Linked DNA regions of Arabidopsis thaliana. Each later gene encodes a partner of the first gene's protein in a complex. Each region holds a gene or a part of one and is shown on either strand. Other genes may lie near its edges. The genes, in order: U2AF35B and AT1G60900.

The links.
Region 2: U2AF35B (region 1) and AT1G60900 share a complex: the UniProt entries of both Arabidopsis thaliana proteins name them as parts of the spliceosome.

The regions. Positions count from the first base shown.
Region 1 is NC_003076.8:17,169,302-17,174,345, reverse strand, and holds U2AF35B (Zinc finger C-x8-C-x5-C-x3-H type family protein), read left to right. Parts: upstream 1-1,558; 5' UTR 1,559-2,088; coding exon of another isoform or gene 2,089-2,382; 5' UTR 2,383-2,766; intron 2,767-3,043; 5' UTR 3,044-3,049; coding exon 3,050-3,901; 3' UTR 3,902-4,255; downstream 4,256-5,044. Other genes in the region: AT5G42825 (uncharacterized protein), read right to left, coding at 2,089-2,382; IPK1 (inositol-pentakisphosphate 2-kinase 1), read right to left, coding at 5,009-5,044. UniProt on the Arabidopsis thaliana protein: Necessary for the splicing of pre-mRNA. Probably active at the 3' splice sites.
Region 2 is NC_003070.9:22,422,044-22,428,678, reverse strand, and holds AT1G60900 (U2 snRNP auxilliary factor, large subunit, splicing factor), read right to left. Parts: upstream 4,786-6,635; 5' UTR 4,672-4,785; coding exon 4,561-4,671; intron 4,287-4,560; coding exon 3,994-4,286; intron 3,911-3,993; coding exon 3,761-3,910; intron 3,451-3,760; coding exon 3,383-3,450; intron 2,753-3,382; coding exon 2,676-2,752; intron 2,581-2,675; coding exon 2,533-2,580; intron 2,455-2,532; coding exon 2,395-2,454; intron 2,281-2,394; coding exon 2,220-2,280; intron 2,135-2,219; coding exon 2,022-2,134; intron 1,916-2,021; coding exon 1,469-1,915; intron 1,401-1,468; coding exon 1,265-1,400; intron 1,158-1,264; coding exon 1,090-1,157; intron 1,011-1,089; coding exon 873-1,010; 3' UTR 626-872; downstream 1-625. Other genes in the region: AT1G60913 (Rapid alkalinization factor (RALF) family protein), read left to right, coding at 1-74. UniProt on the Arabidopsis thaliana protein: Necessary for the splicing of pre-mRNA.

The DNA.
Region 1 (5,044 bases):
AACTTTGATTACAAAATAAAAACTTTGTTTTTATTAATCAAATAAATGAGTTGGCTTTGCTATCCATTAAGACAATTATGTTTGAAAAACTCGATTACGTGAATTTGATGAATGGTTTTGGAGGTAAAAATCTAAATAGAGGTATATTTAAAAAATATAATTTTGTTTTTTTTTCCTATTTTTTTGCTTACAAAATGCTTATAAAGTTCAAAAAAAAAAATCTATAAAGTTTTAGTATAACTTTTATATACTATTAATTTTTTGATTATGCAAAAAACAAATAAAGGGCATAAATGTTTTATATCTGTAGGGCATTCCTACAAATATTAAAAGTTTTAGTATAACTTTTAATATATATATATTATTGTTTTTCAAATTAATTCTTACTAGTCAAAGTTAATGGGATTGTTAGAAATTATTCACGTAAACAAACAAATATATATTTATATATATATGTATATATACTATTATTATTCAAATTAATTCTTACTAGTCAAAGTTAATGGGATTGTTAGAAATTATTCATGTAAACAAAGAAATATATAAAATTTTCTTCTATTTAAAAAAGCAAAAAAATTGACTCTTGAATTTTGGTATAGTACTGGTTTAGCTAAGGATGTACTAAAATTTATTATTGAAGTTGATCGATGAAGATGACAACACCGTACTATATATATACACATACTAAGAGGGAGAAAATAAAACACTTAGTTAAGTATACATCGAGGAAAATGACTTTCAAAATTAAGAAGAATGGTTTAATGGTGCAATTGCGTATTAGTTCTCATATGATTTAATTTTTAAATATCTATTTTCACTTTTCGTATAAATTTTACTTATTCTAATAATATCTCTTAAATTTATAAGATCTTGTGTGACCGTTTTTTGGTATGTGTCACTAGTTACATTATTGAATTTAAGGGTTCGATAAAAACTTATGGAATGATCGGGTAAATATATTTAACCACGGATACTTATTTGATTTTACATCTAGGTTTTTTAATGTTAAAAGTAGATTGATCACCTAAATTTAAGTCTAGGGATATGTACGAAACAAAAATGTTTAACAACATACTCGTAAGAACCTTAAATGAGCAATACTTTCTTTACCAATGAAAGCTGCTGTTAGAGGGCATCCTGAACATGTGGAGGTTAAAATTAATGACTCTCTAACTATTTTGTTCAAACAGAATTTCATAGATTTTCCATTTTTTATTTTACTCATTTTGTAAATAACCTCATTTTACCATTGATCAAATAAATTTAACATTTCATATAAAAAAAAACCTCATTTGAAAATTGTATTTAAGTATTCAATTATTTGGAGATTGTATTCAAGTATTTAATTTGACAAATATAATTTGGTTAAATATTTCAAGTATTCTAAAAACATTCAGATATTTCAGTTATTTCAGATAGTTTGGTTATTTTGAGTGTAAACATAACTAATATCTTTAAATTATAAATTATAAATTTGGCTATCTTGATTATTTGAAATATAATTAAGAATAACATTTTAGATATATAATTGTATTTCAGATAAGTCTGACATTCACTAGATTTTTAATTTATTTTTAATTTTATTCCCATATTTTTTTTTTTTCTTCTCATAAGTGTATTATATTAACCACCAAAAGAGGAAACAAAGCATTAAAGCTTACAACGATATGTGCAGAAAGAAAAGTTAGGCCCAACATAGCCCATAAGATTAACATCTACGGCATAAAGATGTTTTGACATTTGGACTCTATCCAATACACGTGTCCACGTGATATTACAACTGCAACACAAGATGAAGAGTCATCGGAAGTGTACCGACATCAACCTTCGCCGCCGATGAACACCGAATCCGGTGAGGAATGCATCGCCGAAACATCGCACAATGAATCCTTGTAACCACCGAAATAAAACTGAACGGTGCTCCATTTAAAAGACACAGCAAAAAGGAATCATAATAAGCATCGGAATATTCTTCAATCTTTCAACCCGAAGACATAATCGCTTGATAGATTTCTGCAAATCGAAGTTTCTAAAGACACAAGACAGAAATTAATCTTAAGTAACTAGCACCTAAAACTAATTACCATCTCAAATCTGTTGAGATTTATTGAAAAACAAAACTAAAATATCAAAGCAATCAGCATAAAACTGATTGACTACGAGCAAGGATACAAGCGGCCAAAACCTCTTATGAAAGCAGGATTTGCCGTACGGGAACCGGTCATCTCCACTAAAAGAGCTAGAAGATACCGGGCAAAAGCCCAAATTATTTGGAACGGCTATCATCGGAAAATTCTTGTAGGTGGAGACAAAAAGCTTTCCCTCTCTGAAGGTTTTGTGAGAGAGAAGAGAGAGAGAAGCTTTAGCTCTTTTTATTCCCATATTTTTTTAAAAAAATCATTCAGATATTAATTATCTAGTTCTGTTCGTTTCCTTCCAATCCAGTTCAGTTTAGTTTGGTTTATTCGGTTCTGAGCCGGAGCAACAAAAGGATCAATCTTAAAATCCTCGTTATGTTATGACGATTTTGACGAGGACCAATATTGTAACTTTCTATAGTTTATTTTATTATTCCTCCTTGTAGAATAGTTTATTTGCAAAATAAACCCATATTAATATCTCTTTCTCTTTTTTTCACCACACTCTCTCTCTCTCTCCGGCTCACACGAGTCGCTAATCAAATAAACCTAAACCCTAGATCGTGATCGGCAACGGCACCTCCTCGTCGGCGATAGCTTCTCTTCCACTAAAAGAAAATCCTCTTCGGTATTCTTCTTCCTCTAATCAATCTCTCTCTCCGTTTCGGATTCTCATCTCCACTCGATGACTAGAAACGTCTCGATCTGTTTTAGATTTGACAACGATTCATGATTCTGATTCGTTCATTGATTTGATTCTCTTTGATTTTGTGTTAACTCTCGTTTATAAGCTTAGATTTGGTTCTCGTCTCTGATTCTGAATCGTTCTTGTAGTGATTTGATTTATCATATAAGCGTAGAAGAACAATTTGTGTTTAGTTGAATTTGATTTTTGTTATGTTTAGGTGAGAATGGCAGAGCATTTAGCTTCAATCTTTGGTACTGAAAAGGATAGAGTGAATTGTCCGTTTTACTTTAAGATTGGTGCTTGTCGTCACGGTGACCGGTGCTCACGGCTTCATAACCGTCCCACCATCTCGCCGACGCTTCTCCTCTCGAACATGTACCAGAGACCTGACATGATAACTCCAGGTGTGGATCCTCAGGGACAGCCGTTAGACCCGAGTAAGATCCAAGACCACTTTGAGGATTTCTACGAAGATATTTTCGAAGAACTCAACAAGTTTGGTGAAGTGGAGAGTCTCAATGTTTGTGACAATCTTGCTGATCATATGATTGGGAATGTGTATGTTCTGTTTAAGGAGGAGGATCACGCAGCTGCTGCGTTGCAGGCTTTGCAGGGGAGATTTTATTCCGGTCGTCCTATCATTGCTGATTTCTCTCCTGTGACGGATTTTAGGGAAGCTACTTGTAGGCAGTATGAAGAAAACAGCTGTAACCGTGGTGGGTACTGTAATTTCATGCATGTGAAGCAGATTTCGAGGGAGCTTAGGAGGAAATTGTTTGGGAGGTATCGTCGTTCATACCGTCGGGGAAGCAGAAGTCGAAGCAGGAGTATAAGCCCTCGACGTAAGAGAGAGCATTCGCGAGAGCGAGAGAGAGGGGACGTTAGGGACCGTGACCGGCATGGAAATGGGAAAAGGAGCAGTGATAGATCAGAGAGGCATGATCGGGATGGTGGTGGAAGGAGGAGACATGGAAGCCCGAAACGGAGCAGAAGCCCACGAAATGTGAGAGAAGGAAGCGAGGAAAGGAGGGCGAGAATTGAGCAATGGAACCGAGAACGTGATGAGGGAGTTTAAGGGTATCGTTTGGGCTGATTACTTCATAAAAATCGGTAAAATCTTGTAATGGATATTCATTTGGTGTTCTTTTTTTGAACTTGAAAAATGAGTGGCATGAACTCCTTAGATGATGTAAGGTGTTTACTGTATTTTGTAGAATTTTTGTTTAGAAACTAGTTCGTGAGGCAAATGATGGGTTCAGTTTTTCTAAGTTAATGTGGTAATGATCCCTTGGTTATTGTTCTTTATGATTGTCCCTTGCAATGTCTTCTTATAAGGTTTAAACACTTTGTATTGTTCGGGGAAAGAGATAAATGTTGTACGATTTTTTTGGGTGGATTGAATGAAGAAACCGAACCCAACCCAAATATTAACCCAAATATTATAAATACCCGAATGGGTGCTATGAGCCTAAACCCAAAAAACCCGAAGCGTATCGGAGCGTGTATTCGAATGCCAAGCCCTAGTCAGTTTTATTATTGTTAGTGTCCACTTTTCATGTTTAATGGATTTTGTTCTCGATAACTCAAAAAGTTATTATTTACAAGTGTGGTATCAGAGCATGGTTCATGATGCTACGGGAAACCATTTTCAATGTTTTATTAAGTAAATGTGTCGCAAAAGATGTTAGGAATTGGTTCAATCACTTGCTAAAACTTAAGTAGATGGGATTATATGACTTATCCTTTTTGTTGTGTTGTAGTATGCCGCCAAAGAGATCTCATGGTTGTGATTCAGTGGGAGAGGAGGGACGGTCCATGGGTCTGCCACCCCAAAGATACTATCTTTTGTGAGAGAGTGGGGAGACAGTATATCGGAAAACCGCTGACAAAATTTTCCATAGAAGGAGCAACAACAGTGGCTAAGCTCCACCATCTTTGTATGTACAAGCAATTCTGGCAAAACTTGACAGAGAGCATTCTGGAACAGTAAAATATCTCCAGGCAACGGCTCCATGCCGAGAGAAGACCAGGGAGAGAAAGAGATATAGAGTGAAGGAGATATAGTTCCAACAAATTTTAAGTTTAAGAAATGAACATTCATCTTTTAGGGCTTTCTTTATTATGTTCTACAACAACAGTAACCAAAAAAAAGAGAGCTAGTGGTATTGAGACGATACATGACTTAGCTGTGGGAAGGTTTTGAGTTGCCGATTTGTTC
Region 2 (6,635 bases), on another chromosome or scaffold:
CAGTCAACCAGTACCATCTTCCTCCTGGTTGTCAAAACACTACACATTGTTATCGTGAAAAGTATCATATTTAATTATGTATTCATATATACAAATCATTTTCTACTAAATATGAAAAAAAATTTATCACTAATCTACATTATTGATGTGATATGGAACTTGTTACATTATCAAATTTTAATTATTTTAAAATTCTTTCATTTTTTTTAACTTCAAATTATTGTTATATATATTTTAATAAATTATAAATTAATGTGTTATCAGGCATAACTTCAAGTTCGTGTAACATGAGATGTGTCTTGTGAAAGCATGACATGTAACTTTCGTTGTAAAATAAAATAAAAAACAAATGAGCTCAGATATGAGGCTATATTATCCGATTCATCGGAGAATTGCTAAGGACCCAACCTTAGCTTAAAGCAAATTTCATCAACGCTCAAATGCACCAGCCGGGAATTGAACCCGGGTCTGTACCGTGGCAGGGTACTATTCTACCACTAGACCACTGGTGCTACTTGCCTACTATCTTACTTTTCTAATATAAATCCAGTATTTCACGTTTAGTGAGAGCAATTGCACATGTTCCAGCATTGCATTTAGAAACTGATGTGGTTTGGTCTTTTAGTTTTTAAAAGAACAATAATATAAACTGATGTGGTTTGGTTAGTGTTCAATGAAACCAAAAGCTACTATTACCAACACACACCTTAATTGATTGTGCCTGGACAAGTACTATTGCAGTCAGATTCTAGACAAATTTCTCCATTTAGTAGAGAGAGAACTAAACATGTAAAAAACTTAAAAATAAAAAAGAACCAAACTTGTTGCTAAGAGATCCAAACTAAAAGCTTAAGAAGAAGACGATAGATAGCTCAGTCTTCGTAGTCGCCTTGGGCATACTTGTCTTCGGGGTAATACACAGCCACTACTTGGTTTCCTCCAAATTTTCTTCCATTCATCCCCGATCTGGCCTTTGATGAGCCATCCACATCCGCATACTCTAAGAAAACCTGCATTAGTATTACCATTAGAGTATGCAATTTATATATGAATTTGGTAGACATTTGTATCTGAGGACTGAAATCTAACCTTCCCAACTCCTGGTGTTGGGTCATGATCTGGATTAGGCCTCGGAATCACAACATTCACTAAGTTACCTACACACACAACAATGATTTATCAAAGTTCATTTTAGACCATGAGCCTCAGTAATGTGCTATTGGTATAATGTCAGAACAGACAATAAGAAAATCTAATTGCTTACCGAATTTTCCACCTTCTTGTCGCATGTCCTCCATTATCTCTGCATATTCTTCATCGTCTCTAAGATCATCAGCTGTAACCACTTGAGTCAAACAGACAATCTTGGTGGGAGTACCTCCTGGTTGGAACATAAGCCTCTGCAACAAAGTTTGAGACAGATTTAGCATTACTGATCATTTAGATAGAGTGAATCAGAATCCTTTACCTGCAAAGCAATCTGTTGTTGGGCATAAAGTAAGACTTCTTCTTGCTCGGGTTTAGGTTGAATTGCACCCTGGATTGCACGCCTAACTGTAAGTGTCTTATCACCCATCTTAATCCCGTTTAGAGCGGCACATGCAATATCTGTTACTGACGGATCTTGGTAAACACAGAATGCATATCCCTTCGAATTTCCAGTCTCCCTGTCTTTGACCAAGTTGAAACCTCTTAGGGGCCCAAAAGACTCCAAGAGCTCCCTGATCTGTACCTCTGTGAAGTAATAGGGAAGTCCGCCCACAAAAATGCGGTCGGGACCCTCAAGCCCACCAGTAGACCCTGAAGACAATCCAACAGCCCCTAAGTTGAGGTTGGGATTAGGCTGGCTCGGACCAAGAGTTGCAGCAAGAGACGGGTTATAGTCAGTTGGCCTCCTCACCTTTACAGGAACTCCCTAGAGATGAAAAAAGCTATGATTTCAGATAGGTTTCAATACTCATAATACAGATTGTAACTAATAAACACCAAACATCTAAAGTGTAGAAGAGCTAATAAATCACCTCTAATATAATGCCGTCTAATGCCATTGCGTTACTAGCCTCCTCAACAGATCTCATCTCTACAAAAGCAAACTTCTTTTCGTGGTTTATATAAACATTGACCACCGCATCACCTATGAATTAATAATCCAAAAAAAGGATGAGATTTCGTATAGACTTGCGGCCAATATGACAAAAATATAATGAACTTTTCAATACCTGGCCCAGCAGTGTTTCCCCCAATGGCCGACATCACTTGGCTAAAGAACGTTGACACCGACTAGGACATGAAAACCCATTCTCAGTAGGCATACAATGGATATTGAAATGTGGTTTAAATAGACAATAATAAACAAAAAGTCACAAAACCTTAAACAAAACAAAAGTAACAAACCTGTTCATTAGCAGTTGGTGGAAGGCCACCAACATAGACTCGCCGAGCATGCCTAGTTGCCTGCGACTACATATTTTAGGAAGGGAATCGTGACAAAAGGTGAAGAACCTAAGAATAAGATAGATTGATAGATCGTACCTGTTGAGTCATTGCCTGAACTGGCAGTACAGGAAGCGCACCTAGTTGCTATGTGAGAAAAAAGATTGAGAAGTTCTGAGCATGTTCGCATAAAACAAAAGAAAAGAGGAACATAAGAGACACAAAAATACAAATTTTTATACCTGACCAGGGACCATTGGAAACATGTTTGAGAACATCCCTGGAATAGTAGCAGTAGTTGGCACACTAGGAACCTGGCCTGCTAGGTAAAGTAGTATGCGTCATAAAAATGTTTGTTAGATACATTATTATGTTTCCCGGAGGAGCAGACCTACCAACAAGTACAAAGCTACAGATAACACCTTGCTACTTACAAAACCCACAAGTAGAAAGTATACCAACAACTTATGAATATTAAAATGAAAAGTTGTGATGTAATATTCGTTTTAGTTGTCAGAGATTGTAAGGCTCGAAAACAGGCATATAGTTGCCAGTCGAAGATGAAAAATACCCATGACAACCGTTGCACTGATTCCTCCTTGTACAATTAAAGCTAGAGAGGTCGGCTCATTGTCAGCACAGTGGGGCAACTAACCCAACATAGCCTTCTTACTACAAAAAGACAAGACACAGAAACAAACAAACACCACCAAAAAAACACAAACAAAAAATTTCTCAGTTCCAGAACCACCAGTCAAACAAAAATAACAAGACATCCTATGAAGAAAGCAAGACTTCAAAGTCCTCTTTGTTCACGAGTAAACAATAAAATTGCAGCTTACCAAAGTCACACCGTGTAATTGACTATGATCTTTCCAAACTACGTAAAATCAAAAACAACAAGCAGTTAAGAAATATAATAACCCTGAGTAGATGATGAAGCAAATACCTGCTGCAGCAACAGCAGTAGCAGCTAACATATCAGGAGGCGCCATATCAAATCCACTTCTCCTCTTGCTGAAAGAGCAAAATATAATTGGTTAGACATCAGTAGAGACGAGTTCGAAAAAATAATGCCAAGTAAACGTATGAAACACACATAAACATCAATGACCCAGATCAGACTAAAATATTGGTAATCATATAAGGAGGGACCGTTCAACCCAGTAGAAGACCATGATAATCATATTGTGTCAACAAAACAAAGACATCAAATACTAAACAATAATGGTTTTATTTGATTTGACATCAATATCATAACACATTGCAATGTGGCCACGGAAAGAACTAGTTAGAAAAGATAAAAATAGCAGGAGAGCCCAGGTACCTCTTTGACCTTGATCGCGACCGTGAGCGTGATCTATGTTCAGACTTATGTCTATGTTCTGACCTTGACCTACGTTCAGAGCGGCTCCTTGACCGAGAGCGTGACCGTCGCCTGTGTCTCACCTCTCTGTCTCGATCGCGAGACCTCCTCCTGTCGAGAAATGACTACACCTTCAATTTTAAGAATAAAACAATCTAAAACTACAAAAACAATTGCAACACACTAATGAGTACCTATCACGGTCTCGACTTCTGCGATGATGATCATCATCCAAATCATCTCTTTTCTCACTACGTTCTCTGCTACGGTCCCTATGACGATCTCTATGATGACGGTCTCGTTGCCTATCCTTACTTCTCTCCCTATCCCTATCTCTATCTCTGCTTTTCTCCCTATCTCTGTCTCTGCTCTTCTCCCTATCACGATCCTTCTCACGATCACGATCTTTGTTTCCGTCTTTATCACGTCCATTTTCATTGTCTTTCTCACTGATTTTCGAAGAATCCTTTTTAAGATCATGAGATTCCTGCAGGAAACAAATGTCAAAAGGCTTCTCTCATATACTATCCCCAGATTTCTAAAGAGAACATATGAACTTAACATGATAATATATACTCTAAATCCAGTGAATCCTTCAAATCAAACTATCAAAAACATAAATTCAACAAGCAGAATCCGAGAATTGTACCAAATTACAATACAAGTGGAGAACAAATTATGATTACCAGTCTAATTCACGAGAGAAACCTAAAAGCTACAGAATCGAACGCAAGATATGTAAAGAAGAAAGTGTAACATACTCGAGACTTGGAGTCTTCATGAAAAGGCGAGCTCTCTAGAGATATGTAGTTCTCGTTGTGGTTTTCGGTGGAGATAGCGACACCATCTCCGTTGCCTTCGTAACTCATCATCCACTTGTGATCTCTTCTCCGATTGGTACTTATCGTTGAGTCTGATTGTGTATGGAAGAAAACCCTAGGGATTCTAATGGAGGATGAATTAAAAATTATGAAGATTCTTCGAGGAAGATGAAGTGATATATGGGTATTATTGTAAATTGAACAGTATTTTTTGGTGTTACACCAAAACCGTAAATGGGCTTGTCTAGTCCAAATTTGAAAACTAGGGTCTCATTATACTTAATGGGCTTATCAGCTTTATCGGCTTATAGTCTAAATTTTTAGTTTCTATCACCAAAAAAAAAAAAAAACTAAATATTTTAAAAATTGATCATTCTAATATTGTTTTACATTATTATTTTTTGTGTAATTAAGGGTTGATTATTATTAGATGTCTTTGTTTATGACTTTTTAAAAGTGTGTTTTATAAGTCTTTATCTGATAGTTTAAAGTCACATATGTTTCTAGGCGTAACTAGCAATTGAAGATGAAAGACCACGTTAAAACATCACAAATATCTCCGGCGTTTAGAGGTTTCTCTCACCATGGATCAAATTCAATTGTTGACACAAAATATTACAAAAAAAGAAGAAGTTTAAATTAGCTTTCATTTGACGGTGGTTTGAAGTTAAACGTACTGATGGATTGGAAAAACATACGATTCTAGTGAAAACAAGTCAACCTAACAACATATATTGCAGAGACTGGTCCACACTCGATCCCTTCATGGACCGTAGCATTCACGGCCAATCAATCTGTTCATTGAGTTTTGACTAGTGTCAATAATTCATAGGATTTTGTTTATATGAAATAACTTTGATATGAGTCAATAATTCATACGAATTTGTCTTTTTCTGTGCTTCTTGAAGAATCCTTTTCAAGATCATGAGATCCCTGTTTTAAAACGGAGATGTCCAAGGCTTGCTTCGTCATAAGTACGACGAAAAGTAAAATGCAATTATATCTTCGAACATCTCTAGATCCTATTATTAAAACACTTAGGGTTACTAGGAATAGATTCATGTGGAGTGTGAATTATGAAGATAGATATTTAGGAGCCCATTAATCGTTTAAAATTATGGCCTCATTATGATTCATTGGCTTAATAGTCTTATTTTTTATTTTATTGTATCCCAAATATATACGTTTGGACACAACCAGTTTTACGGTAGAAAGATTCGAAACATCCCCATATTTTTATAATTTGACTACCATAATATTGTAGAAAGAAAGCATAGCTATTAGAGACTAGTACTTACCAGTTTTTTTTGGGTTATTTTATTTTTAGTTCTAAAACTAAGATAGTTACAAAAACAGATGATTCTAAATATTATTATGTAAATTCTAAATTGATTAGCATTAATTTTAGTACAAAACCTAATAAGCATCATTACAATAATGAAAGACTGCAAGACCATTGGATTGCTAACTTATATATATATATATATATATATATATATATATATATATTGGGTCTTATTAATAATATAAAAATTTACAAGTTTTTTACCTGGTAGTTATAATGGTAAGATGGTACATAATGATGTATAAAAAAGAAAAAGAAAAATAGTACAGAAAAACTGTAAAAAAACAGTGTAACAATTTTGATATTTGATTGATAAATTTATAAATTGTAGAAATTGTAGTGCTTTGATTTTGTTCACCAATCAAAGCCATTGTTTGTTCAGTTTGTCAAACAGTCGACAATAGAAACAGTCATAAAATGGTGTTCTGATGTTGGGCCCAAAATTTTCTTTTTAATATTACCCTTAATTTTAATATCCTTTTCAATTGGATTTCTCTTTTGGTTTCCTTAAGGCAAAATTTTTGGTTGACTAGAGAAATATAGAAGAAAATAGAGAATGGGGGCAGAGATGCATGAATGATGAAAGTGATGAAAAAGGACGAGAGGGAGAAAAAGAGAGATAGATGATAGGTGATGTGACATTGACAAGTGATGGAAACTATTTAAAAAA